Linked DNA regions of Daphnia pulex. The protein of the gene in region 1 interacts with the protein of each later gene in a biochemical or structural test. Links are inferred from orthologs where the notes say so. Each region holds a gene or a part of one and is shown in the gene's direction. Other genes may lie near its edges.

Region 1 (4,067 bases):
CAAAAATGCTTTAACATATTGATTTAATAACTCCAAAACGGTTTTGTCGGGGTGCTGCTGCTGCTCTTTGGCCATTCTTTCGACTAGGAAACGCAAATAGTGGTATTTAAGTGCGAGGATCTCGTTGACTTCTTGGCTGCGCTTCATCTGATTTTCGCTAAGTATCTCCAAGACGTTTTTCACTTTTGTGAGGTTATCGTAAAGCAAAGGAAGTTTTTGAATAGTCAACAAAAGGTGAACTGGATGCAGATTGACCTGATAAATCAAACAAAACAAAAAGTTCAAGTGCTTTTCCGTGGCAGAATAAGAAATGAAGTGATGTGTCTATTCAAGTGCACAACCTGCATCACAAATTTGTGCAAAGCTGGTGCAGCAGCTGGTGGCAATTTTGGCTCAGTTTGATCGCTAGGAGCTACAGTGTACTGCTCTATTTCTGAGCGTGGAATGAAATTGTTGATGATGGAAACAACTGTGTGATTCCCTGGTTTGCCAAAATAATTCATTTTAGTTTTGGATGATTTGTACAAACATTATGATTGACTAGCCTACCTACAAATGCAGCCATTTGAGCTGCAGTTCTGCCTACTGAGTTAACCACATCAGGTTTACAACCACACTGAAGTAATTGTTGACAAATATCCAAATTTCCAGACAGAGCTGCAAAATGAAGGGAAGTATACTTGTGTTCATGATGACCTCCATTGGCATCAGCTCCCTTCGAGAAAAAAAGTCAACTTTTCAATCAAATTAACAACATTGATAATATAGTTAGACTTACCAGGTCAAGGAGCAACTGGCAAATATCTTTTTTCCCTTTAAAAGCGGCATGTTGCAGTAATGTCATTCCATGCTCATCCTCATCGTCAATTTCAACGTCCCGGGATTTTATAAGTTCTTGCAAACCACTAGTATCATTGTTGTTAATCTTGTCAATAGCTTTAATAAAGTTTTCCGAAATCATTTTTCGAGATTCTTTGGCAATTAACTCGTTTTTGAAGGAAATCAAATAATTCAGTCACAAATTTTCATATAACGATATAGTTTCCGTTGTCGTCTGCAACTGTTGCTATAACAACCGGACATTTCGAAAAACAAAAAATCCAACAACGCCAAAAATGCGAATAAAACGAAAACTTATTTTTGCTTCGTATGAACCTTTATTTCAGAAAAAAAACTTTTTCATTATTTTTCTTCTTTATATTTTTAGTGGTCTTCATTGAGTTAAAAAGTTTCTTAAACATTCAACGCTGCACGTTCAGCCTTGGTTTCGTTTGTACCACTGTTGTTTTCCCGCCATCGCACTTCGTCGTCTTGTCCGTAAAAACTGCTTAAAAAAATTCAAGCACGTTGACTGAACGAAGTAATCCCCGTTAAAAAAGGTTCCGTAAAATGAACAGAAGAAATCACCCAGCACTAACCAGCGGCGCAATTCCGGTAATATCAATCATAATTTCGAATTTTTGAATAAAACTATAAATATCTTTATTTCGACATAGTCCATCATTGGGAATGGCCTGCACAATGAAACTCCAATTCTACAAGTTTTGGTAAGCAACGAGCAAGATTTTTTCTTCATTTGCAGCATTTTTACATTTTCTTCTCTTACAATAGGGTTACAAAAATCTTCAGGGAGACAATAATGACCGTTACAGAATTCTCATCTCTGATGGAAAGTATTCCTATGCATATGGAATGTTGGCAACACAACTAAATCATCTGATTGTGGATGGTCAGCTTGAGAACTTTACCATCATTAGAGTAAAAAAGTTTGTTGTTAACAAAGTTGCTACTAAGGCAACTGCAGGCAAGGACCAAAAGAAAATTATCATTCTTTTGGATGTTGAGCCAATTGTGCCTGGAAGTGAAGTATGTTCACTTTACTTAGTTTCGAAATACAAATAAGGATATCTCTTCATTTTGAACATTTTTTGTTTAGGTTGGAGAAAAAATAGGAAACCCTCAGACTCTTAATGATGTTGGAGAGGTTACTGAAGAGGCAGCAGCAAAACCTGCACCTTTAGGAAATGTGAACAATTACAATATGGGATCGAAGTCTGCACCACCTAACAAAACTGGTGGATATGGACAGCCAACAGAGAAGTCTGACATTATTACCCATCCGATTGTAAGCCTTACACCCTACCAAAACAAGTATGTTTGTTGAGAAATTTCAGTACAAGAAAAATTGAATCATTAACTTTGCTTGTTTGTAGGTGGACTGTAAAAGTGAGAATTATAAACAAGTCCGATATCCGTACGTGGAGCAATTCTCGAGGTGAAGGAAAGCTTTTCTCGATGGACATGGTGGATGAGACTGGTGAAATCCGTGCCACTGCATTCAATGCCGAGTGTGACAAGTTTTACCACATGATTGAGGTACATTTAATTCAAAAACAGTGTTTGAAGTTATTTATTTACATTGTTATTTTTCGTTGTAGATCGGCAAGATCTTTTACATTTCACAAGCACAACTGAAGGCAGCAAACAAACAGTACAGCAGTATGAGGAACGATTATGAAATGTCGTTCAACCAAAATACTACAGTATGAATGTTTTTCAATCGTCAATCGTACCAGCCTCAATTTTTTTTTCTTTTACTTATTTTTTAGGTAATTCCTTGCCACGATGATACATCAGATATCCCATCAATCTCCTTCAACTTTGTTCCCATTGATCAGCTACCTAGCCTGGACAAGGACAGTGTTATTGGTAAGTTGTCTTTTAGGTGCATTAACATTACAATTCTTCTATTTGAATGGTGCCTACGATATGACCGATTGACCGTGCTTTCAGATGTCATTGGTGTGGTTAAGTCAGCAAATGACGTCCGCGTTATCGTTTCCAAAACGACAAATAAAGAATTGAGGATGCGAGAAGTTCAGATGGTGGACAGTACCAACACAGAGGTATGACTGGATTCTTCGTTTAATTGTCGAGCCCAGTTAATTAATCATTCTTGTCTTCAAACATCAGGTTAATTTGACTTTATGGGGAAAAATGGGCGAGGAATTTGACGCTAGCTCCCAGCCTGTTGTAGCATTAAAAGGAGTGAAACTTTCTGATTTTGGAGGTCGTTCTCTAGGAACAGTCTCGTCTACTGTCGTGCAGGTAAAATCAAATGTAAGACTTTCTATTTCTCTACTATTCTACAGCGCATATTTTTAATAGATCAATCCTGACATGAATGAAGCTCACAAACTAAGAGGGTGGTACGATAACGGTGGCTCATCATCGGCCGCTTCTAGCATTTCGGCGAGTCGTGGCGCTGGCACTGGTGGTAGTGGTGGGTCGTATAAGACTTTCGCTGAAGCAAAATTCGAAAACCTGGGAAAAGATAAACCTGATTTCTACAGTGTTAAGGCTATGGTTGCTATGATCAACAAAGAAAGAGCGTTGTACATGGCTTGTCCCAGTGATGAATGCAACAAAAAGGTAAACATAAATATATAATAAAACAACTCATTTTTGACAATATTTGCGTTTCCCGCAGGTCATCGATCAAAACAATGGCCTCTATCGATGTGAGAAATGCCAGCGCGAATTCCAGGAATTCAAATGGCGCATGATGCTTTCGGTATGACAAAGATATTTTATGAAATCTATTTCTCTCAAAACAGCACTCGAAATTTGTTATAGGTCAATATCGCGGATGCCACGGACCAGCAATGGGTAACCTGCTTCCAAGAAACCGCTGAAACTCTTCTTGGTAATTTTGTTTTCGAACTAATGTTACGTTTAGCATATAATATTTATTTATTTGATTATAAATTTTAGGGAAATCCGCAGACGAGGTCGGTAGATTGAAGGATTCGGATAATAACGAATTTCAGAAAATTTTCGAAGAAGCTACTTTTAAGTGGTATGTCTTCCGCCTGAGAGTGAAAATGGAGACGTACAATGTAAGTCTATGAGCATTATGAATTTCGATCTTGTTATCTGTTGACGCTTTTACCTTTTCTTTAGGATGAAAGCCGCCTCAAAACAAATGTCTATGAAGTGAAGGAAATCAACTATAAAGAGCACAACGAGCGATTGATTCGAGAAATGAAAGAAATGGCTGCATCAGA
Region 2 (4,228 bases), on another chromosome or scaffold:
CTTTAAAGCAATATTGCTCGTCAGTCACGGTCACGATGGAATAATTTGCGATGACGTAACTGCCAATGAGCTCAGCAACCGCTTGACCGAGGTCGGCAGCACTGCAAGATGATGGCAGGCAGAATGTGGTACTAGGATAAATGTAAGTGCTGGCATCCGCCACGGACACTTTTGGCTCGACCCGATCCGATCCCAATAATCCCAAAAGCTGAAAAATAGTGACAAAGTTCCTTCTTCCTTCGTGGTTCTCATTGAATGATCTCGGAGGTAGAATTTCGGACTGATCGACTGCCACTGGTTGAAAGTAGACGCTGCAGTATTGCCCATCGAATCCGGGTGCCCGAACGGCCAGACATTCATCGAAAAGTCCATCCGCGTGAATGTTACGTGATCCAAATAACCCCGGTGGAAGCTTGGCTGAAGACTCTTGCACTATTTTTTAAATAAATAATTAATGAATTACACAATGTTTGTCCCAAATTTCGAGATGTGATAATCACTTGTTATCTAATCATCGTTACCAGATGTCATTAGTAAGTGAAAATAAGGTCATTGTTCAATCTCTAGTCACCTTTTGCATCCTTCATTATCAGTTCTTTATACGACAGAGAATATAATAATCAATACAATTCAACCTTTGTAACATGACTAATAGGACAGATCTTCCACACACATCCGCCATGTCATTCAACGATATCGTAAACACGCTATTACAACATTTTTTTAAACACATAGTTCAGTTTTGAATATTATTCCATGATTATTATTAATGCAGCTTCTTTTTCAACTTACTTTGTAAGGCCCATAGACTTTGGTTGGCGTAAAGGTTATGAACGTAATACTGGCTATCTTGTAAACATTGTTGACTAATATTTTTAGCCACCGCCGTTGGGAATGAAGAAGATTTGAGTGCGGCGAAAACGTTGTGAAGTGTTGACGTTAAATCAAAAGTGGACCCACTTTCCTGAAGTTGTTGGCTAATTATATTCCTCCACTTTTCAAAAGATCGTTCACTCTCCGGTGAAATGATTAACGCCGGATTTATGAATTGTTGAGACTGGCCTCCTACCCAAAGTAGAAGAAAGGTAATCTTCCACAGCATGGAACCCATAACGAGTGACTGAAAAGGACAACAGCTCCGAAATTTTTGACTGACGACTAATGAACACGTCCAGAGAATTTATACCCTTAATCAATCTCATCAGTCTCATACAATTGTACTCTTTGGAAGTTGGAACTTTTTATCTTTGGAACAAGTGACAAGGTGGTTTATCTATGCTTTGTGACTATATCCCCTAGATTAAACGTTGCACAATGGTATTTCCGCTTGATCCCAAACCGATCACAATGAAATCAAAAATTAACACACATACCTTATGGTCTAAGTTTCTGGTGCACCGCGTGGTCTACAATGTTTGAAGTGTTGAATTTATTGGTCGAGGCAGAGTCGTTTACAGTAAATTATTCTGATCGAGGTAAATGAAAACGTTTCTTTTTCATTTTATTTCTTTGATAATAGATTTTTAGTGCCATTTACGTCGAGTTCTAATGTAAACAAGAATTTCCTCTGTCGAAAGCAAATGTTATTTTCAAAATCGATCCGGCGACACGGCGTTCGACCCGTTCGTATGTCAAAATGAATGAGCTAATAAAGTTCCGAGGGCCATCTGGTGACGGATGTAAATTTGATTCACCATTGCTTCAAAGATGGAGTTGTAGTCAATAAAATTTCTTTATGAAGATTTTTGTTGACCAACTCAAGTTGACCATATACTCGCCCATTTTCGTTTTCAATTAATTTATTACTCGTGCCGTGCGTGCCCAATGTGTTAATTAAAACGTGCTGAAATATTCCAAGTATGGCCAGCGACATCGACGAATCAGCAGTAAGATTAGATACTGCTGATCCGGAAGAAGTCCAAGTTGCAGGTCCCTCACTTGAACAACGTAACCAAAGAGCAAGTGTTATTGTTGTCCAGCCTTCGTCTACTGAAAACAGAATTGGTACCGTAGAACTGGAAATCACGAATGAAGCTCAAACAGATCAGGATAGTCGTGATAGTTTAGCTGAAAGTAATGGACCATTGTCCCCTATTTTGATCAGAGGCAGGCGACGCAGGCCTAGAGGTATGCTAAAGAATTTTCCTCCCTTTTCTCATTAATAATTTTTATATTTCTCATTCATTAGATGAAGATAATGATGATGAAGAAACTGAAGATGGGGGGCCTCCTTCAAGGAAATCTAAATCAGATTCTGCTGGCGGTTTTCTCCCAGAAAAAGAAGACAAAACTGCTGTAGATGATGAAGAAGATGGACAAGTAAGTCTGTTGCTAAGTGGAGTACTTTTTTTGTGTTATCCTGCATTATTCATATGGTTATAGGTCTGCCCAGTATGTTTTGATGTTTGGAGCAACTCTGGATCCCACAGAGTTGTGTCGTTAAAATGTGGACATTTGTTTGGGCAAGCATGCATAGAACGTTGGGTTCACTCTGGTGGCAAGGGGGCCAGGTGTCCACAGTGTAATGAGTCCGCTCAAAAGAAGGATATTAGGCCTATATATGTTAGAAATTTAAAGGTAACTAAAATTTGTTAAAAACAATTGTTTCCTACTCTAATATCAAAATGGTTGATTTCCAGGCAATAGACACGACAGAAAGAGACAGAGCCTTGTCAGCTCTAGAGCAGGAGAAAGAAAACCGTCGTAGGTTAGAGTTAGAGTATCACAAACTTCAAATTCAAACAACCGCCAAAGAGCAAGATATTTTACGATTGCAACAAGAGTTACAACAATGCCGTGCAGCTTTGTCAGGCGCCTGTTTAGCAGCCAGTGGCCAGGGAGCCGAATTACCTTTAGCGGGGGCAGGTCCTCTATTTGGATCTCAACCTCCTGGAATACTAGGCCGTCGTTTAGTTCTGGATTCGACACTGGAGCTTTGTAAAGAAGGCCAGTGTCGCGTCATGTCTTATAGCGAACATTTAACTCTGCTCGTAGTGTCTTATGCTGGAACAAATTCGCACTTGACGGGCACTGGTATCAAGAAAGTAAACGCACTGGGAGGATTTCGCACTGTCGGTTACATCGCCGTTCACCGAAAGCCCATCCGCGACATGGCCTTCCACCTGGAACAGAACGACCTGCTTCTGACTGTTTCGTTGGACAAGACGGCCAAGCTGGTAAACGTCCACAGTGACATCTCAGTCACTTCGTACCAGTGCGATGCACCTCTTTGGAGTTGCGCATGGAATGCCGACAACAAATACCAATTTTTCGTTGGAACTGGCACTGGCAAGGTTTTACTTTACGATATGCGCAAATCCGGCGATGCAGTTGAGTGCTGGTCAGAGCCCAACAGCATGTCGCCCGTCACTGGACTTGCTTACCTTCCATTCAGGTGAACCTTTTAATGTTTTATGTAATTTTGTTTTTGTTCCTGGATAATTGACTGAATTTGATTTTCTTTTGCTAGTCCGGTGACCACTTTTCCCAGAGGTGGACTCTTTGTTCAGCGTTTGCAGTCGTGTGTCTTCCACGAGTCACGGACAGACGGCTTTGTTCCACATACACTGCCTTTGGATGGGTCCTTCACATCGCTTTGCATTGAGCCAGAGACGCGCCATTTTCTGGCCTCGTCTAGGCCCAGCACCGCTCATCCCCAAGTAATAATTCACATTCGTTCTTGACATTTCAATTAGAATCTGGCGGTAATAAGGGTCATCCATTTAGGCTCGCCATACCGTCTGTGCTCCTTCTTGGACTCCATTGGGTAGCGATTCGTCCACCGGCCTTTGCAGTAGTCACGCTATTACGACCATCCAAGCTGGATCACAGCAGAAGTTGCTCTCCCGTTCGTGCCTCCTTACTGCCCCGGGCTCCACTGAAGGTAAATTATTGATTATTTCACGCCTGAATTGACCCACAAATTAATTTTTGTTTTAATTATTTGCATCAGGCAAGCAGCTAATGGTGGCTGCCCATCAAGAGGCCGCCCAGTGTATTTCGCTATGGGACGTCAATTCATCGGCAGTGCTTCAAAAGCTGCCCTGTTCAGATCCCGTTTTGGATCTCCTCCCTATCCGCGTCAATGGCGTCCATTTCGTTGCTGCATTGTCGGAAAAGAATGCCCGTTTCTACAAGTGGACATAAACCAGGAATATTTCACTTTTTCAGTAATTATTATTACCACTATGGTCATTTCTATACCAAAACTCTGAGATTTTGTACAAAT

What was found. The genes of interacting proteins can lie anywhere in the genome.
Region 2: the proteins of replication protein A 70 kDa DNA-binding subunit-like (region 1) and E3 ubiquitin-protein ligase RFWD3-like form a complex in vitro, tested with the Homo sapiens proteins (3 studies listed by BioGRID, with this or other methods). The link is inferred for Daphnia pulex from reciprocal best matches to the Homo sapiens genes RPA1 and RFWD3.

Annotation. Positions count from the first base shown.
Region 1 is NC_060017.1:3,019,604-3,023,670, reverse strand, and holds the start of replication protein A 70 kDa DNA-binding subunit-like, read left to right. Parts: upstream 1-1,265; 5' UTR 1,266-1,389; coding exon 1,390-1,434; intron 1,435-1,496; coding exon 1,497-1,547; intron 1,548-1,611; coding exon 1,612-1,866; intron 1,867-1,936; coding exon 1,937-2,151; intron 2,152-2,213; coding exon 2,214-2,376; intron 2,377-2,438; coding exon 2,439-2,543; intron 2,544-2,609; coding exon 2,610-2,709; intron 2,710-2,793; coding exon 2,794-2,906; intron 2,907-2,973; coding exon 2,974-3,108; intron 3,109-3,168; coding exon 3,169-3,432; intron 3,433-3,490; coding exon 3,491-3,574; intron 3,575-3,636; coding exon 3,637-3,706; intron 3,707-3,774; coding exon 3,775-3,899; intron 3,900-3,963; coding exon 3,964-4,067. Other genes in the region: ankyrin repeat and MYND domain-containing protein 2-like, read right to left, coding at 1-255, 342-481, 550-715, 779-961. UniProt on the Homo sapiens protein: As part of the heterotrimeric replication protein A complex (RPA/RP-A), binds and stabilizes single-stranded DNA intermediates that form during DNA replication or upon DNA stress.
Region 2 is NC_060027.1:2,170,144-2,174,371, forward strand, and holds the start of E3 ubiquitin-protein ligase RFWD3-like, read left to right. Parts: upstream 1-1,424; 5' UTR 1,425-1,859; coding exon 1,860-2,127; intron 2,128-2,188; coding exon 2,189-2,319; intron 2,320-2,382; coding exon 2,383-2,577; intron 2,578-2,639; coding exon 2,640-3,394; intron 3,395-3,469; coding exon 3,470-3,659; intron 3,660-3,726; coding exon 3,727-3,883; intron 3,884-3,952; coding exon 3,953-4,146; 3' UTR 4,147-4,228. Other genes in the region: nose resistant to fluoxetine protein 6-like, read right to left, coding at 1-432, 793-1,111. UniProt on the Homo sapiens protein: E3 ubiquitin-protein ligase required for the repair of DNA interstrand cross-links (ICL) in response to DNA damage. Plays a key role in RPA-mediated DNA damage signaling and repair.